Ovis aries: one gene and its partner. Each later gene encodes a partner of the first gene's protein in a complex. Links are inferred from orthologs where the notes say so. Each region holds a gene or a part of one and is shown on either strand. Other genes may lie near its edges.

Evidence for each region.
Region 2: the proteins of WDPCP (region 1) and INTU are in contact, whole or in part, in a cryo-EM structure (PDB 7Q3E), measured with the Mus musculus proteins. The link is inferred for Ovis aries from reciprocal best matches to the Homo sapiens genes WDPCP and INTU. Residues at the interface, in NP_663400.2 of Mus musculus: Phe3, Cys4, Leu5, Ile24, Leu51, Ser54, Arg55, Asp56, Lys93, Leu385, Ala386, Glu387, Asp388, Tyr389, Ile427, Lys446, Leu447, Gly448, Ile449, Leu450, Thr451, Arg452, Gly453, Leu455, Leu462, Gln463, Ile465, His466, Tyr467, Gln487; in NP_780724.3 of Mus musculus: Val481, Gln484, Val488, Asp491, Ser495, Asp496, Glu498, Ala499, Ala500, Asp501, Ser506, Glu507, Asp508, Arg513, Arg514, Thr517, Ser532, His533, Leu534, Pro535, His574, Tyr593, Glu610, Gly613, Cys614, Ala615, Ser616, Lys617, Ser653, Pro654.

What each region holds. Positions count from the first base shown.
Region 1 is NC_056056.1:44,883,901-44,893,810, reverse strand, and holds part of WDPCP (WD repeat-containing and planar cell polarity effector protein fritz homolog), read right to left. Parts: intron 4,862-9,910; coding exon 4,252-4,861; intron 1-4,251. UniProt on the Homo sapiens protein: Probable effector of the planar cell polarity signaling pathway which regulates the septin cytoskeleton in both ciliogenesis and collective cell movements.
Region 2 is NC_056070.1:30,205,580-30,215,964, forward strand, and holds the start of INTU (protein inturned), read right to left. Parts: upstream 6,552-10,385; 5' UTR 6,466-6,551; coding exon 6,320-6,465; intron 1-6,319. UniProt on the Homo sapiens protein: Plays a key role in ciliogenesis and embryonic development.

The DNA of each region.
Region 1 (9,910 bases):
CTGATGCTGAAGCTCCAATACTTTGGCCACCTGATGTGAAGATCCAACTCATTGGAAAAGACCCTGATTCTGGGAAAGATTGAAGATAAGGGGGCAACAGAGGATGAGATGGTTAGATGACATCATCGACTCAATGGACATGAGTTTGAGCAAACTCCAGGAGATAGTAAAGGACAGGGAAGCCTGGCATGCTGCAGTTCTTGGGGTCAAAAGAGTCAGACACGATTGAGTGACAGAACAAAACCTCAGAACTGATGGCATTTCATTGCTGACTGGATATGGCGTTAGGAATGAGGGAGGATTCTAGGATGATTTCTAACTTGTAATTCTGTCCATCTAAATAACTATAACATCCCTTAAACTGAAATACACAGGAGGAAAAGCAGGGAGAAAGATGACAACTTCAAGTTTGCACATAATAAATCTGAGGCAGTTGTGCAGACTCAAGGGGTAGGTTTCCTGTAGGCTAGGTTAACATGTGGGTGTGGAGAGCAGTGGCCTAGGCTGAAGTCAGAGACAGGATACCAAAATAAAAAGTAAACTCTTGGTTTGATGCATGAGACAGGGTGCTCAGGGCTGGTGCACTGGGATGACCCTGAGGGATGGGATGGGGAAGGAGGTGGGAGGGGAGTTCAGGATGGGGAATACATGTACACCCATGGCTGATTCATGTCAATGTATGGCAAAAACCACTACAATATTGTAAAGTAATTAGCCTTCAATTAAAATTTAAAAATTAAAAATAATTTAAAAAAATAAAGAAAGAAACTCTCATTTTGCATAAAATGGGAGGGGAGCTAAAGATGGAACCTTGGAGAGCCTGAATATTTTCATGAGGAGGCAGAAGAAGAGCATAAAAAAGTGCCAGAAAGTTGCATTGAGAGTCACAGAAGGCAAGAACAATGAGAATTTGATGGTAATGTGGTCAGGAGCCATCAAATGCTGAAAAGTCATCAAGTAACTGAAGAAAAATATGTGTATCAAGTAGGAAGTCACTGGTGAACTTTCCAAGAGCAGCTCCAGGAGAAGATTGAAGAGAAGAGCCAGAAGGTGGTGCTGTGAGGGGGAATGGGGGCGAAGAAGCAGAGAAATTCAGTGTTCACTATTCTATTAAGAGCTTGACTGTGAAACGACGGTGAACATTTGATTAATAACAGAGGGGAAACAATTTTAAGGAACAGATGTATGTTGCTTTGTTTCATGGTGTGGCTTGGGCCTGAGCCTGCTGATGTAGCAAGATTCATGGGGAGAGTGGGGAAGGTGACAGAGTAAAGGCGTCAAGGGGAATGCTGTGGGATCCAGCGTGGAACTAGTCGTAGGTAAAAGGCAGGCTCCTATCCCACTGAATTGAAACTGAAAAGATTTATTACATGGAGGTAAGTGGTTGGGTGGGTGGTGAGGAGCAGATAAAGTCAATGAAGTATCTATTAAAAGGGGAGATTCTCTGTTGAAAGGGCAAGAAGCTGATCACATGAGTTTAAAGAGAGCAGTGAAAGTTGGAAAAGGTGATGAAGAGAATGGAAAAGCTTTATTATCTAAGAAATAGAACTAGGAACTCCTCTTTTTAAAATTAATCCCAGTTTACATATATGGAAATATGAATAATGATTGTTAGGTAAAGAAATTCTGATTACATACTGCCTCTACCTAGAAGGATGACACCTCTTGCTCCCTCCTGAGGAAGACATGTTAGTTTTTCACATTCTTATAGTAACAGTGGTGATGGCCTTTTAACCTCCAGTGGCATTTGTGTGATAATTATAAGGATTTAGAATGGAAGCTCTAGCCTTCAACAGAGTTTTCCTTCAACATTACACTAACTGACCTATTCTAAGAGTCAGACTCCAAAAATCTTAGCATATTGGCAGCAGCCACTGACACGTTTACATATGACAGCATTCTATTTTAAACTATGATCTATCTCAGCTTCTTAAATTGTACGCTACACCTTTCATGTCAAAATTTCCAAAGGCTTGCATAACAAGCATATGAAAAACATCTCATAAATGCTCTCTAGTGGGGAAACTGCACATGAAACTACCTGTTTATATATGCAGTAACTTGAATTATACATGAAAATTCCACATGGATGCCCAGAATCAGCACTGTGTTAATTCAAGAAGTATATTAAAATTTCTGGATGTATTTAGTAGCAGATCCTAAGAAAAATCTGTTCTTTAAACAGGGTTTTCTTTAAAAAAAAAAAAAAAGAAAGAAAGAAAAAGATCTGTTAGCTGGAATATACTGTTTCAAGGAATCTACTCTTCCTAGGAAAAATAATATATAATAAACAATAATCTTCTCAAAAATCTCAAAAACACTTCATTCTCAAAAATCCTGGGAAACTCCATGTTTTGTTCTTTTAAAGACCGTGTAAGACTGTAAAATTTCCCTATTCTATAAATCTTATAAGTCATAATGAAAATAAAATTTAAATGATAAATGTCAGTTGCAGAAGTTATCACCTTTTCATTTGAATGCTTGACTTCTATTGGATAATTCTCTTCCAAGAGACCTACTTGGGAAAAAGAGGTGACAGCCAACTCATTGCCTAATTGATTTAGGAACAGTGCCCAGGGAGATAGTCCAATTAAGTTTACAAGCTGGCAATTAGCAGGAAGCCCTCTAAATCCCTACACTGAGAGCCTGTTTACTTTAGTAAGAAGGCAAATGTGCTAGAGATAGGAAGAGAAAGCTGTGCTTTTTGCAAAGCTGTTGTGAGTAGGCCCACAAGGGAGGGCTGAAGAAAAGCTAGGTATATGTTAGTAGATTGCCTTCTTGTTTGACAGGTAACTGGGATACAGAGAGAGGGAGAGAGTTTCAACAAATATGCAAAACATCTAACATCCACTTTAATAAGTGTTGTGTGTGGAGACACACCACTATTAAACATGTAGTTGGGCAAAGTAGAACTGGATTATCTCATAATAAATGAGATTCCAAACATATTTTTATTGGATAATACTAATGTTATGAATGGATTTAGGTTCTTTTTTTTTCATGTGAAAAGAACATAGGCCTCACTTATATCCCTGATAGCTTTCAAGTTAAGTCATTTTCATTAGATTTATTTCATTCGTTCTATTTCAGAGGCAAGTAGATCCATTAAAAACAAAAAGTAAACTGACAGTTACTTAAAAAACAATGTTTTTTAAAAACTTAACTTTGTGCCACAGAGCCAAATGTGTAAGGGGTTTTGAAATGTATCTACTTTTCTATGTTTTCAGGTTGCAATCAGTTCAGTTCAGTTCAGTCGCTCAGTCATGTCTGACTCTCTCCAGGCCTCCCTGTCCATCACCAACTCCCGGAGTTTACCCAAACTCATGTCCATCGAGTCAGTGATGCCATCCAGCCATCTCATCCTCTGTGGTCCCTTTCTCCTCCTGCCCTCAATCCCTCCCAGCATCAGGGTCTTTTCCAGCGAGTCAACTCTTTGCATAAGGTGGCCAAAGTATGGGAGTTTCAGCTTCAGCATCAGTCCTTCCAATGAACACCCAGGACTGATCTCCTTTAGGATGGACAATAATGTGCACTAATTGAAACATGATTTTTAAAACCTAAGCAAGTTCCTCTCAAGAATGTTAAATTATCAAAACTGCCTTAAAAATATCATATATTTAAGGACATAGCTGGTAATACAAACCTATAGAAGGCAAATAAAAATTATGTTGAAATAGTATACATTAATACATAATTTTCCTAATATTGAAATAATTTTTTGAATATTTTTATCTAAAAGAAAAACATAAAGTTACACAAATATCTTCAGCAAATTCTAACCAAGCATTTTCCTTCCTCTTCTTTTAAAACTCTTGTTTTACATATTTTCAATCTGGAAAGAAATGAACACTCATCTAAAATAACTTAATAGGAAAAGTATTATATCCCTACACACAGAATTTTACAATGGACATAGTAAGTACTTAAAAATATTCTCATATGTACTATTTCTTAAGGAATTTTTTTAGTAGCCAGTTTAGTTTGGAAAGCATCATATATGGACAGCTCAGGCTTTTTACTCATGTGATGGAAAATTAATGCAATTTCAAAATTTTTCAATATATAATGGACCTTGAGATTTTAGAAAATCATCCACAAAACTTTCTTAAGAAAACTACATGAAATGTTTGAAATGTAAGCATATTGATGGGATGAGAAACAAAAAAATCTACATTCCAGGAACAGTTTTACTGTCTTAATTATACTGTCATCATAAAAAAATTTATTTACTCACCAACTTCCTTGACTTACCAAGTTTAAACAGAAGTACACCCAAAGGTCCTCTGTCAAACCTGAGAAAGAGGAGATTATAGATGTCCCCACTTTCAAGCTTCTTAGAAACAACCTGAGGCGCTATCCACTGCATTTGAACAAGACTGCTGGAAACATCAAAGAATTTTTTGAATTGTAGAGTCTCCCTAGGTGAATTGTCTTCAGCCAAAAGCTGGATGTTAATAGGAGAAAGAGCCATATCAAATATTTGCAGCTCCCCTTGGTTACTGCCAACTAGCAGAATGGCCCCACTTGGGTGGCAGCTTACTAACGAAGGCAGAAGTTCAGCCTGAGCTAAGAGAGTCACTCTACGGTGAGTTTCATAAAGAATTATTGAAGAATCTTCACAGCCCAGGATCAGTTTGTCTTCAGCAGCATTCCTGCAACAACTAATGGCCTTTGACTTAAGTGGTATTCTGGTGACTGATACACACTGGATTTTGTTCCGAACACATTCATAGATGCAGCTGTCAGCCATGGGCTCTTTGTCTACACTGATGGAGCACTCCACTGTCAACACTTGATTAGGATGTTTGGTGTTAAAGCGAACATCCAGTGGATCCCATTCTGTACGTACAGAACTCAGAACCTGTAAGAAATATAACAAGTATGTTCAGATAGACTGTGGTTTTTCTTCAGCTGTCACACATAGCACTGCATATTAATCTAGAATCCTACTGAATAAAGTCAATTACCACCTTAAATATCAGCAACATATTAGCAGGTATGCATATATCTCATATAGAACATATATAAATGTGTGTGTGTGCACGTGCGCTGTCATGTCTGACTGTAGTCTGCCAGGTTCCTCTGTCCATGGGATTTCCCAGGCAAAGAGTATTGGAATGGGTTGCCATTTCTTTCTCCAGAGGATCTTCCTTGACCTAGGGATGGATCTCCTGTCTCCTGAGTCTCCTGCATAGGCAGGTGGACTGTTGACCACTGAGCTACCTGGGAAGCCCATATATAAATAAATATAGCACGTACTGAGCACAGCTGCAGAAATTAAATTATAAAATTTTAACTTAAGCATTTTGTTTTAGAAAGTCTGTAAGTAACATACAGACAAATATTTCCTACAATATACAGAAACTAATAGAGTGGGCTTTTAGTAAAATAATACACCTAGCAGATTATCTAAAAACATCAGAAGTGTGATTTTTAAAGGATGAATAAAGGATTTTAACAATTCAGTTCATCTTCTTCCAACCCACTACCCCTGCTGATTCTAAAATTACTGGTAAATTATTTACCAGAAATATATTTCTAATTAGTAGTGTAAGAAATAAAAAACCAAAATGGTCCGTTTTCAAGAACATCTAGCATTGAGTGAGAGCTTGCTGATGTAATAGCCAATAGCTGATAGCCATAAGGGATACAAAACTACAAAGTCTGGGCAAACAAAGGGAGGGTGAGATGCCTAAGATTTTCGTGCAGGTTCATCCTACAGGTGAATTCAAAACCTAAGAACTGGAATAGGTACACAGAAAAGGAGGAAATAAGATGTGGCGGGGTGGTGGGAGGAGATCATAAAGAGGGAGGGAACAAACCTAGGTGACATCCAGGAAGACTGTTTACCCCTTGGTACTCAGCCAAAGAGGAACAGGGAGAGGGACTTGCATTCTAGGGATAAGATGCTCCCTGTAATGACTCTGGGTGTGCCTGCCCATCAGACACCAGATCTTGCAAGACTATCATTAAAGCCTTACTTCCATTCTTTGGGTTTGAGCTGGTGAGCGTGTTTCTCACAAGTAGGGCAGGGTAGGCAAAAGAAAAAACTTTAGAACTCTGTTAACATTCCTGTAGAAATATTTTGTTGTTGTTGTTGAGTTGCTAAGTCATGTCAGACTCTTTTGCAACCCCACGGACTGTAGCCCACCAGGCTCCTCTGTCCATGGGATTTCCGAGGAGTAGGTTGTCATTTCCTTCTCCAGGGGATCTTCCTGACACAGGGATTGAACTTGTGTCTCCTGCACTGGCAGGCAGATTCTTCTACCACTGATTTTATTGTCAGAAAAGATATGAAGGGTTGTTAAGTAGGTCAGTGATCAACAGAAGAAAATAAGAAGGTAATGTACTAGTTACGACCCAGAGGGATGATTCAGGGAGGGAGGAGGGAGGGGGGTTCAGGATGGGGAACACCTGTATACCTGTGGCGGATTCATGTTGATGTATGGCAAAACCAATACAATATTGTAAAGTAATTAACCTCCAATTAAAATAAATAAATTTACATTAAAAAAAAAGACCTGGTGAGTAATATGACTTATAATACTAGTGAGGCAAAATTTGAAAAGCATTTCTAGTGTGGAAAGCAAAGGCAACAAGAATAATAAAGGAACAAAGCAGGCCATTCATCTTATTCATATGTAAATGTGGGAGGCCAAAAATCTGGAGAATGGTATCTGAGATCATTTTTAACACTGCTGAAAACCTCAAAATTAGATTTAGAAACATTACAAAGCACATGTCTACAAGAGACAGAATTTCACAGAACTCTGCATGTGTGTTTGTGCACTCGCAGAAGTTCTAAATCTGACGAAATAGGCCAGTATCTGAGTTAATAGTATTATACCAAGGTCATGTTCCAGGATTTGACAATGTACTGCAGTAATGTACATTACTGGGGCAAACGAGGGAAACTAGGCAAACTAGGGGGAAAAGTACAGGAAGGGAATATGCTTTTAGCCATTTTGGCAATTATTTTAGCAGTCTGGCTGTCTGGGGAGGCCTTTAGCTGTGAAAAGAAGAGAAGCTAAAAGCAAAGGAGAAAAGGAAAGATATAAGCATCTGAATGCAGAGTTCCAAAGAATAGCAAGAAGAGGTAAGAAAGCCTTCTTCAGTGATCACTGCAAAGAAATAGAGGAAAACAACAGAATGGGAAAGACTAGAGATCTCTTCAAGAAAATTAGAGATACCAAGGGAACATTTTGTGCAAAGATGGGCTCGATAAAGGACAGAAATGGTCTGGACCTAACAGAAGCAGAAGATATTAAGGAGAGGTGGCAAGTATACACAGAAGAACTGTACAAAAAGATCTTCACAACCCAGATAATCACGATGGTGTGATCACTCATCTAGAGCCAGACATCCTGGAATGTGAAGTCAAGTGGGCCTTAGAAAGCATCACTACGAACAAAGCTAGTAGAGGTGATGGAATTCCAGTTGAGCTATTTCAAATCCTGAAAGATGATGCTGTGAAAGTGCTACACTCAATATGCCAGCACATTTGGAAAACTCAGCAGTGGCCACAGGACTGGAAAAGGTCAGTTTTCATTCCAATCCCAAAGAAAGGCAATGCAAAAGAATGCTCAAACTACCACACAATGGCACTCATCTCACATGCTAGTAAAGTAATGCTCAAAATTCTCCAAGCCAGGCTTCAGCAATACGTGAACCGAGACCTTCCAGATGTTCAAGCTGGTTTTAGAAAAGGCAGAGAAACCAGAGATCAAATTGCCAACATCCGCTGGATCATGGAAAAAAGCAAGAGAGTTCCCGAAAAACATCTATTTCTGCTTTATTGACTATGCCAAAGCCTTTGACTGTGTGGATCACAATAAACTGTGGAAAATTCTGAAAAAGATGGGAATACCAGACCACCTGACCTGCCTCTTGAGAAATCTGTATGCAGGTCAGGAAGCAACAGTTAGAACCGGACATGGAACAACTGACTGGTTCCAAATAGGAAAAGGAGGATGTCAAGGCTGTATACTGTCACCCTGCTTATTTAACTTATATGCAGAGTACAGCATGAGAAATGCTGGACTGGAAGAAGCACAAGCTGGAATCAAAATTGCTGGGAGAAATATCAGTAACCTCAGATATGCAGATGACATCACCCTTATGGCAGAAAGTGAAGAAGAACTAACAAGCCTCTTGATGACAGTGAAAGAGGAAAGTGAAAAAGCTGGCTTTAAGCTCAACATTCAGAAAACGAAGATCATGGCATCCGATTCCACCACTTCATGGCAAATAGATAGGGAAAGAGTAGTAACAGTGAGAGACTTTATTTTGGGGGGCTCCAAAATCACTGTAGATGTGATTTTCATCGACTGCAGCCATGAAATTAAAAGACGCTTACTCCTTGTAAGGAACGTTACGACCAACCTAGACAGCATATTAAAAAGCAGAGACATTACTTTGTCAACAAAGGTCTGTCTAGTCAAGGCTATGGTTTTTCCAGTAGTCATGTATGGACATGAGAGTTGGACTATAAAGAAAGCTGAGCACCAAAGAATTGATATTTTTGCCAACTGTAGTGTTGGAGAAGACTCTTGAGAGTCAAAGGGACTGCAAGGAGATCCAACCAGCCCATGCTTATGGAAATCAGTCCTGAATATTCATTTGGAAGGACTGATGTTGAAGTTGAAACTCCAATACTTTGGCTACCTGATGTGAAGAACTGACTTATTTGAGAAGACCTTGATGCTGGGAAAGATTGAAGGCAGAAGAAGGGGATGACAGAGGATGAGACGGTTAGATGGCATTACCAACTCAATGGACATGAATCTGGGTAAACTCATTGGAAAAGACTTTGATGCTGGGAGGGACTGGGGGCAGGAGAAGAAGGGGACAACCAAGGATGAGATGGCTGGATGGCATCACTGACTCGACGGGCGCGAGTCTGAGTGAACTCCAGGAGTTGGTGATGGACAGAGACGTCTGGTGTGCCGCAGTCCATGGGATCGCAAAGAGTTGGACACGACTGAGCAACTGAACTGAACTGATGGTCTTCCTAGTGGTTACGTACAGTTGTGAGAACTAGACCATAAAGAAGGCAAAATGCCAAAGAATTGATGCCTGATGCCTTTAAACTGTGGTTTTGGAGAAGACTCCTGAAAATCTTTTCGATGGCAAGGATATCAAACCAGTCAATCTTAAGGAAGATCAACCCTGAATATTCACTGGAAAGACTAATGCTGAAGCTGAAGCTCCAATATTTTGGTCATCTGATGCGAACAGATGACTCACTGGAAAAGTCCCTGTAGCTGGAAAAGATTGGGGGCAGAAAGAGAAGAGGATGTCAGAGGATGAGATGGTTAGACAGCATCACCAATGCAATGAACATGAACTTGGGCAAACTCGAGGAGATGGTGAGGGACAGGGAGGCCTGGGCTACTGCAGTCCATGGGGTCACAAGGAGTCAGACACAACAACAAGAGGCAGATTCTGACTGGTGTGAGATCATACCTCATTGTAGTTTTGATTTGCATTTCTCTAATAATTAGTGACGTTGAACATCTTTTCATGTGCCTATTGGCCATCTGTATGTCTCCTTTGGAGAAACATTTACTTCTTCTGCCCATTTTCTGATTGGGTTGGATTTTTTCTGATATTTAACTGCAGGGATGAGTTATCTACATATTTTGGAAATTAATCCCTTGGTAGCACAGTATGCAAATTTCTTCTCCCAGTCCACTGGTGAAAGGTCTCCTTTGCATGAAAAAGTTTTTAAGTTTAATAAGGTGCCATTTGCATGCTTTTGTTTTTATTTCCAGTACTCGAGGAGACAGATCCCCCCAACAATATTACTGCAATTATATCAGAGTGTTCTGCCTATGTTTTCCTCTAGGAGCTTTACGGTTTCTATTCTTACATCTAGGTTTTTAATAGATTTTTATTTTATTCTTGTATA
Region 2 (10,385 bases), on another chromosome or scaffold:
GCAGGGTGACAATATACAACCATGATGTACTCCTTTTCCAATTTTGAATCAGTTAGCTGTCTGGTTCTTGACCTGCATACAGGAGACAGGTAAGGTGGTTTGGTATTCCCATCTCTTTAAGAATTTTCCACAGTTTGTTGGGATCCACAACTAAGTCTCAGTTCAGTTCAGTCACTCAGTTGTGTCTGACTCTTTGCGACCCCATGCATCACAGCACGCCAGGCCTCCCTGTCCATCACCAACTCCCGGAGTTCACTCAGACTCACATCCATCGAGTCAGTGATGCCATCCAGCCATCTCATCCTCTGTCGTCACCTTCTCCTCCTGCCCCCAATCCCTCCCAGCATCAAAGTCTTTTCCAATGAGTCAACTCTTTGCATGAGGTGGCCAAAGTACTAGAGTTTCAGCTTTAGCATCATTCCTTCCCAAGAAATCCCTGGGCTGATCTCCTTCAGAATGGAGTGGTTGGATCTCCTTGCAGTCCAAGGACCTCTCAAGAGTCTTCTCCAACACCACAGTTCAAAAGCATCAATTCTTCGGCGCTCTCTCTTCTTCACAGTCCAACTCTCACAGGCATACATGACCACAGGAAAAACCATAGCCTTGACTAGACGGACCTTAGTTGGCAAAGTAATGACTCTGCTTTTGAATATACTATCTAGGTTGGTCATAACTTTTCTTCCAAGGAGTAAGTGTCTTTTAATTTCATGGCTGCAATCACCATCTGCAGTAATTTTGGAGCCGCCCAAAATAAAGGATCAATTAAGGTTCCAGGAGAAAGCAGCACTTAAATGGGACCTTGAATGACGATGACAAGTAGAGACAGAAAGAAAAGGTATTTCAAACAGAGAGAACAAAGTACGTACAAAGTGTAGGAGGAGTGAAAGAACACTGTAGGACTGAGAATGGGTAACCATTTCAGTGTAGTAATATTATGCACTGAATTCTTATGTTCCCCCAGAATTCATATTTTGAACACTACCCCCCAATGCAATGGTATCAGGAGGTGGGGCCCTTGGGATGTAATTAGAATTAGATGAGGTCACAGGGTGGAGCCCTCATGAATGGAATTAACGCCCTTAGAAGAGCCACAGGGAACTCGTTTCTCCTCTCTACTATGTGAGAATACAATGAGAATGTGCAGTCTGTAACTTGGAAGAGGGCCCTCACCAGAACTTGGCCATGTTGATATCTTGACCTTGGACTTCCAGTCTCCAGAGCTGTGAGAAATAAATTTCTACTGTTTATATACCACTCAGTTTAGGTTTTTTTTTTTTTCTTTTTTGCTCTGTTACATGGCTTGTGGGATCTTGGTTCTCTAACTAGGGAGAACCTGTGCCCCTGCAGTGGAAGCATGGAGTCCTAACCACTGGACCACCAGGGAATTCCCTAGGAGGTTTTTTAATTAGTGGCCAGAGCTAAGGCAAGTAGGAATAAAGGTGACTTAAAGGAAGATCATCAAAGATGGGTCTGAGAGGCTAAAGAACAGATCTAAAATAGCTTTAAAAAGCATCCTAAGGAATCTGGAATTTATTTGGGAGGACATCAAGCTTTTCAGTAGAAAAATGACTTAATAGATTTTTCTTTTTTAGAGCAGTTTCACGTTCACAGCAAAACTAAGCTGAAGGTACAGCGACTTTTCATATACTCCCTCCCCATGACATGCATGACCTCCTCCACTATCAACATCCTTCACCAGCGTGGTTCATTTATTACAATTGATAAACTCATAATCATAATCACCCAAAAGCCATAATTTACGTTACTGTTTATTCTTGGTGTTGTACAATCTACAGCTTTAGACAAATGTATGATGCCATGTATCATCCAACCACTATATAGCATCACACATAGTAGTTACACTGCCCTAACACAATTATTCTAATATTTCCAAGTTTAAAATAAAAGTTAAAAAAGATGAAGGCCCATAAAGTTTCCCAGTTACCAGGAAGATAGTTTTATGTTGAAGAAAAGCATGTCTTTTCTAAGGCAGCCACACAAAGATTTCATTTCCAAAGAGACAGAAATGCTTATACATTCAGCCTTTATTTTCCCTTAAAGTGTTTGCCCCTTAGAATATAGCGCTCTTGAGACATCTTGTAAAGTAATAAGTTACAACCAAGAATTAATTCTGAATTCCTAAAAACCAGAGAAAACTTGATGAAATTAAAATGTCAACACTTTCGGGTTTTCGGAACCCTACTCTTAATCCAGTACTTATTACACTGAACCAAAATGCCTCTCGTAATAATCTGCTGAAAAAAGTATTTTGACATTGCAAATATGCTATGGATACTAACAAAATTAGTCAAAGTTTCAGTTATTTCAGGCTACATTATAAGAAATTTCATTGTAATCGAAGTGGTTGAATTCTCTGAACAATACAGTCTGCAGTGATCAAACCTGAAATATTAGATAAGTTTTTTAATCTCAGCCTTCTTTTCCTGATCATAAGGATGATCTGGTTAAGCACATGGATAGCTACTTCATTTTAGCTGGCTTTGTTGGTAATATTCATGCTTGTGTTCAATTATACTTTTGATCCAAACTGCTACACTGTATCTTTTTGTAATAGGTTCTCTACAAGAAAAATAATTTAGAACTATAGTTTAGAAAGTAAACAGAGGCAGCTGTATGGAAGAAAGACAGAAAACAGGAGAAATTAGAAGCACCCGGACCAGTTATAAGGCTACTCCACTGGTATAAGTGACAGGCGAGCCATTTAAGTAAGGCGGTGCCTGTGAGAAGGGGAAGGAGGTGGTAGGTGGATATTAGAAAAGCAAGTCAACAGGATTGGAGACTTATCAGATCTGAAGACCTGAGTGAAAAGAGAGTGAGGTCAGCAAATGAGATGGGCAACACTAGTGGAGAAACAAGGCAGACAGTGAATTCTCTTCAATATGCTGAGATGGAGATGGTGGCAGAGAATTACCATATCTCATCATAAGCCTAGCTACATACTGTTTGACTTTTTAATTGACGTAATTTGATAAAAGAAAAAAGAAAAGAGAAGTCAAGGTTCCGAGTAGGAGAGAAAAAGGAAAATGTTGCACTAGACTGGATATTATTAATAATATATTGCACCATAACTCTGAATGAAACATTTTTATTCTTCAATTAGCACCTTCCCACATTAAAACCCAAGAAAAAGACAAATTTTGATATATCCAAGGAATCCTATTCAGAAATAAAAAGGAAAGAACTACATATAAGTAACACAATGAATCTCAAAATAACTATGCTCAATCCTATTCAGAAATAAATGGAGGCCTATTCTGAAATAAAAAGGAGAAAACTACATTTAGGCAACAATATGAATGAGCCTCAAAATAAGTATGCAGAGTAGAAGAAGCTAGACAAAAAAGAGAGTCCATACTGTATGATTTCATTTTTATAAAACTCTGGAAATACAAACTCATCTATCACTACAGAAAGCAGGTAAGTGGTTGTAAGGAGTGAGGCAGGCATGAGTAGTATTGGGGAGGCACACAGGGAAACTTCTGGAAGACAAGGATATGTTTATTACCTTGGCAGATGTATACGTGTCAAAACTTATCAAATCGTACACTTTAAATATGTAAGATTTATTATATGTCAGTTACACTTCAATAAAGATGTTAAAATATCCCAGAAAAAAACGTAAAGGACATATTTCTCGTCTCCAGTCATTCTTCTTATTTTCAGTGGACATTCCTCAGCTTTTTATAGCTTAACTCTCTTTCTAAAGTATCCCTTTTTCTCCCCATCAGTCAAAGTTTTAAAACTCACAACAATAAACAATTCACTTTGAAAAAATCAAAACTCTAGGTCAATTTTATGAGAACTGGTAACTTTGGCCAACACAAACCAATGTGGCTTCAATGAGCTGGATAACTGTAAACCAAAGCAAAGAAACATGGAGTTATTGCAAGTAAATGTATTTCTGTCATTTTTCCCTCAACCCAACCCACCCTCCAGTATTACCTCTGAAGCTTCCTCAGGGACTAGCCAATAATGCCAGGTTAGGAGGTACTGCACTAATTTAAAAATTTCCTCTTGTAAGTACCTATTAAAAGTACTATAACCAGAATGTACCTTAAAGACATCTCTAAAAAATGATAAACTTATTCTGTATTGACAATAACTTGCAGCTCAAATTGGTTTTCAGTTTGAAAGCATGTCAGAAACAATGACAATTTCCAGAAAGAATATGCAGAAATTAACTGGAACCTTGAAAGTTCAGAACACTTTATGTGAATCAGTAAGTGGCGTAACTTCCTTAATAACCTCCATGTAGGCAATGAAAGACAACAAGCAATTCATCTCTTAGCTTTGATGAGAAAGCTTAGGTTCACATCCCTACATCTTTGATCCACATGTTCCAGTGTACTGTCCAAGCGGGGAAGGCCATCGCTTGCACTGGTCACTCTGCACCTTAGGGAGGTAAATATCATAAGGAAAAAACAGACAGAAGCCTACCTGGTCAGGTCAGTATATCAACTCGTATGTTCTAAACACCAAGAAATGCCAGCCATAAAAACTGTATCTTGGTAGGACTTCAAATACAGACCAGCTAAACAGTTTACCGTCGAGATTTCCTGTAGTCTTATTATTAGGATGTTAAAGATACTGGGACATATGGAGTGATCAGGAAATGACTGATACAGAAAATTTAAAGGCCATTAAAGAAAAAACTAAAATATAATACATATATACATGTATTCGGAATCACACTGCTGCTGCTAAGTCGCTTCAGTCGTGTCCGACTCTGTGAGACTCCATAGATGGCAGCCCACCAGGCTCCTCTGTCCCTGGGATTCTCCAGGCAAGAATACTGGAGTGGGTTGCCATTTCCTTCTCTAATGCAAGCATGCATGTTAAGTTGCTCCAGTCCTGTCCAACTCTCTGAATCAGAAAATGCTTTGAAATAACACATTTTCTAACACAAGGTACTTAGCTTGCTCACTTCCCAGGTAACAGGGCTAGCTCATTTATTGATTCATCAAAATCAACACACCCCCTTTGAAAACAGTTCTAAATTTCTCCACTGACAACACTCAACTGTGTGACCTTAAGAAAATTATAGATGCTCTCTGAACTAAAAGTGTGCGATTCTACGATGTAGAGAAACCAAGAGTTTGAATCTCACATTGTCTATGGCTCCAATAGCAAGACCAAAGAAGGTTCCACATAATCCATACTTCCTTCAAGCAGCCTGGCTTGACAGCCATGAATTTTTAAATTATTTTTTAAATGACCACAGTAGAAGATTACACAAAGTGTTTGATATCCTTTAATTTGCTTAAGTCTTCCAGAATATAATCTGTCCCCACTAAGCCTTTAGAACACATTTAAGCAGCCAGTAGTGATGGTTTTCTCCTACTGCTTTTTAAAGATAATGATAAAAATGTTTTATATATCTATGGGTGAAAATAACTGCCAAGTAACTGATACTCCTAAAATACACATTATATACTCCTGTTATGTTTAAATACATAAAAATGTCATTCTAAGAATGACTATATATGGCAGTCACTGATTGATGCTTTGGCACCAGAACAGTTTCATAGCTAGTTGTTTCAAGCAAACACTAATTACTTTAATTGACCTTTTCAAAAAGTTCTCAATCCATAGCAGTAAGGAATAAATGCCTTCAAAACTGAAGCAGCATTGGGTACTGGGAACAAAAATAACTTTGCATCATTTTTAGGGATTAAAAAAGTAGAAAATAATACTTAAGATACTCTGCATTTAAAAATTACATTATGACACAAAACAGAAAACAAGAAAACCATGTAAGTTCATAGGAAAATACAGCAGAAATACCCCCCCAAAGCTAAAATACAGCAGAAATACCCCCCCAAAGTTGAGAGGTTGTTCTCAATGGTGAGGCTAGGGTTGATCTACTTTCTTTTATATATCTATTCAGTTTTATAACGGCAGAAAAACCTACGTAATTTAAATAGTTGACCAAACGCAGAAGGTGTCCCTTCACTCTAAATACTAATGAGATTAAAGTCACAAAGATCATGACACCAAAGAAGACACTGCGACAGAACAGAATTTTGTGAACACTCTAGCAGATTATACTCTGATATATTACAAAACTCACCAAAGAGACCCTCCTCCTTAAAACCTACAATAACAAAGAATGTACAGTAACAGTCATTTCGGCTCACATTATCGCACAGCTGAAACCTGGTGCAAATAACCCCCACTTATTATAGAACCTCAAACAATTATTCTCTACCACGCCAACACTCTCGAAGTCTCCCCAACCCACGTGTACACTTTCGGGACAGAAAGGATGGATTTAATTGTCCCTCTTCGAGAACCTTACTTAGAGTCTGTACTCGTCGGGGAGTATGAACCCGAGTCGCTGACCGGATCTTCAGGATCATAATCCTGATCTTCTTCTTGTGAAGAAGAGTCTCCAGGAAGTCCCTCTGGGCTCCGAACCGAACCGCACAACGGCAGAGACGCCATCAGCAGGGATGCCGCCGCTACAAGTAGAGTAATTCAAACCCCGCATCTACTGCTTGCCGGCGCCGCCATGTTGCCTCCTCTAGTGCAACGACCGGGGCCACGTGACCACCAATCCTCAGCTGCAATTGGTGGCAGCTCAGGTTGCCAGGGAGACGGGGAAGCTTCTTGGCGAGAACTGAGACCCCCCCAGAAAGGAGCCAATGAACTAAAATTTCTAGGACATCCGGGAAGAATGGAAGAAGCTAAAATTTAACCACTTACGCTCCCCGAAAGACTCTCATTTGGAACAGCTTAACCTGTTAAATCTAGTGGAGGCCCACTGGATTTTTTCTTTTTCTTGCAGTTTGCACTTTGTTGCTACGCCGAACGTCTGTCCAAAACCTTAGATGGGCTCCGTTTGGGTTTCCCTAGAGTAAAGGAAACTACCCTCTACGTCTCTGTACGTGCTTGGAATAGACGCTTTTAAGCAATACCATGTAGGTGTTAATGTAAACATGCGCCATTATTTCTTTGGTTTTCTTACTGTTTCACAGAAGTAAATATTTTCATAGTTCTCCCAAGCAGATGTTGTTGAGGTGCTTCAAATTGGTGCCAATATTGTGAAATCAACTGCGTGTTCATTTTCTAACTGAAAATTTTATAATTTGATGAAGTGTTCTAGTCACTGAAGTTGGAAGGGTACACAGGTAAAATTTACCTGTCTTTTGCGAATACTTGCATCAACTATTTTTGGAATGTACAAAATAATAGCATTTATTTAGATTCGGCCATTGCTCTAATTACTTGTTCATAGGTATACGAATATACATGAACTAAATTTCTCTATATTAAAATAAGGAAACTGAAGCTTAGAGAGGTGTTATTCATCTGGGTTATGGTCACACGGGTAGCAGGAGACAAAGCCAACAAGAGCCGAAGTCATTAACCATTAGATTATCCTTACTCCTCAGCACCCAGTAATTCAACTATTCAGCTCAGTTCAGTCCCTCAGTCGTGTCCAACTCTTTGTGACCCCATGAATGGCTGCAAGCCAGGCCTCCCTGTCCATCACCAACTCCCAGAGTTTACCCAAACTCATGTCCATTGAGTTGGTGATGCCATCCAACCACCTCATCCTCTGTCGTCCCCTTCTCCTCCTGCCCCCAATCCCTCCCACCATCAGGGTCTTTTCCATTAGAGATCAGTAATTCAGTATTAGAGATCTATTCTAAGAAAATAAGAGCTGCAAATAAAATTTATAAAACTTATAAAAAGCTGAAAGCAAGCTTAATGTTCAGCAAAAGGGTAAAATTTAAATGTCTTTAAATATAAAGTATGATGAATATTATGATCTTAATAGAAATGTTTTCAAAAGCAATGCATGGGAAAATGTTCCTATTATAGCCGTTAATTTTTTTAAAAAGATCTTAATGTTATTTTATGATCTCAATGGATGAGGGCTGGGGATTCAACTTAAACTATATGGGTAGATGGTAGAGACTGAAAGATGAATGTGAAATTTATAACGTATAATGTACTATGATAAATACAGAGTTCTAATGGAATACCCAAAGGAAAACAAACTTGGGACATGTAGGGCCACAGCAGATTTCTTAGAGGAAGGCTTAACTTATCTTGTCATTACAGAATATTATGTTCTAAACAGTGAAGAGTAGTGAAAGATGAGTCATCCCATAGCCCAGAGAGATATAGGCATATATATTGCCCAAAAGAACCTGGGCAGTAGCCATTACATATTTAAACTTTCAAGCTGCAATTTAGTTTCATTTGTCACATTAAATTATGTATATTTGAATATCCTAAGTTTAATGGTTTTATTTTATTGATTTCTAAATTTGCTTTTTAATAATTTTTAACTAGCTATTTAATTTTGTTTTGCAGTTTATTTGTATTAATTTATAAAATTGTTTTTATCTTATGAAAGAGCTGTAAAGCACAGAGCTTACACCTGCTTATTTTAAATTATAGTAAAGTTTGTCATCCCTGGAAATCTGTAAGTCTTTCCTGAAAAGAGAAGTCCACATACCACAAATATTAGAAAACAGGGGACTAGTTCATAAAGGGATAAATGGGTAAAGGGATGATGACAGAAAGAGATGGCACCTAAGGAACAGATGGAGAGATATGACCTTGCTCAACACCTCTTCTCTGCTGCTGGTACCCAGAGGAGGATGCAGGTGTGGATGCTGACTTGCCAGTGTCACTCAGGAGGCTAAGGCAGTCTCCATGTGATGGTGTTTATTTTCTCTAGTAGTTAGAAGACAGTCTTGTCAGGTAAAAGTGATGGGGAAAGTAATGGGGTCAGAAGCCTCAAGAGAGTGGAGTCAGGAAAGAAAAGAAACATATTTCCATCAATATTGAGTACCCACCCCCCAAAATAAAGGTGTATTACTTTTAAAATTAGAGATACTATTAAAAGGTGGAACTGCTATAATAGTTATATTATATTTCATCTTAAAACATACATATTCTCACCACAATCCCTAAGATTCCATTCTAAAATTAAAATGCTTTCAGTGCCTCTTTAATAAAGTTAGACTTTCCTCATTTTAAAAGCACCTTATTGGAAGTTAAAAAAAAAAAAGACATTTTTTTTTTTTAAATTTTTTAGTTTTTTATTTTTTAAATTTTAAAATCTTTAATTCTTACATGCATTCCCAAACATGAACCCCCCTCCCACCTCCCTCCCCATAACATCTTTCTGGGTCATCCCCATGCACCAGCCCCAAGCATGCTGCATCCTGCGTCAGACATAGACTGGCGATTCAATTCACATGATAGTATACATGTTAGAATGTCATTCTCCCAAATCATCCCACCCTCTCCCTCTCCCTCTGAGTCCAAAAGTCCGTTATACACATCTGTCTCTTTCCCTGTCTTGCATACAGGGTCGTCATTGCCATCTTCCTAAATTCCATATATATGTGTTAGTATACTGTATTGGTGTTTTTCTTTCTGGCTTACTTCACTCTGTATAATCGGCTCCAGTTTCATCCATCTCATCAGAACTGATTCAAATGAATTCTTTTTAACGGCTGAGTAATACTCCATTGTGTATATGTACCACAGCTTTCTTATCCATTCATCTGCTGATGGACATCTAGGTTGTTTCCATGTCCTGGCTATTATAAACAGTGCTGCGATGAACATTGGGGTACATGTGTCTCTTTCAATTCTGGTTTCCTCGGTGTGTATGCCCAGAAGTGGGATTGCTGGGTCATAAGGTAGTTCTATTTGCAATTTTTTAAGGAATCTCCACACTGTTCTCCATAGTGGCTGTACTAGTTTGCATTCCCACCAACAGTGTAGGAGGGTTCCCTTTCTCCACACCCTCTCCAGCATTTATTGTTTGCAGATTTTTGGATCGCAGCCATTCTGACTGGTGTGAAGTGGTACCTCATTGTGGTTTTGATTTGCATTTCTCTAATAATGAGTGATGTTGAGCATCTTTTCATGTGTTTGTTAGCCATCCGTATGTCTTCTTTGGAGAAATGTCTATTTAGTTCTTTGGCCCATTTTTTGATTGGGTCGTTTATTTTTCTGGAGTTGAGCTGCAGAAGTTGCTTGTATATTTTTGAGATTAGTTGTTTGTCAGTTGCTTCATTTGCTATTATTTTCTCCCATTCAGAAGGCTGTCTTTTCACCTTGCTTATATTTTCCTTTGTTGTGCAGAAGCTTTTAATTTTAATTAGATCCCATTTGTTTATTTTTGCTTTTATTTCCAGCATTCTGGGAGGTGGATCATAGAGGATCCTGCTGTGATTTATGTCTGAGAGTGTTTTGCCTATGTTCTCCTCTAGGAGTTTTATAGTTTCTGATCTTACATTTAGATCTTTAATCCATTTTGAGTTTATTTTTGTGTGCGGTGTTAGAAAGTGATCTAGTTTCATTCTTTTACAAGTGGTTGACCAGTTTTCCCA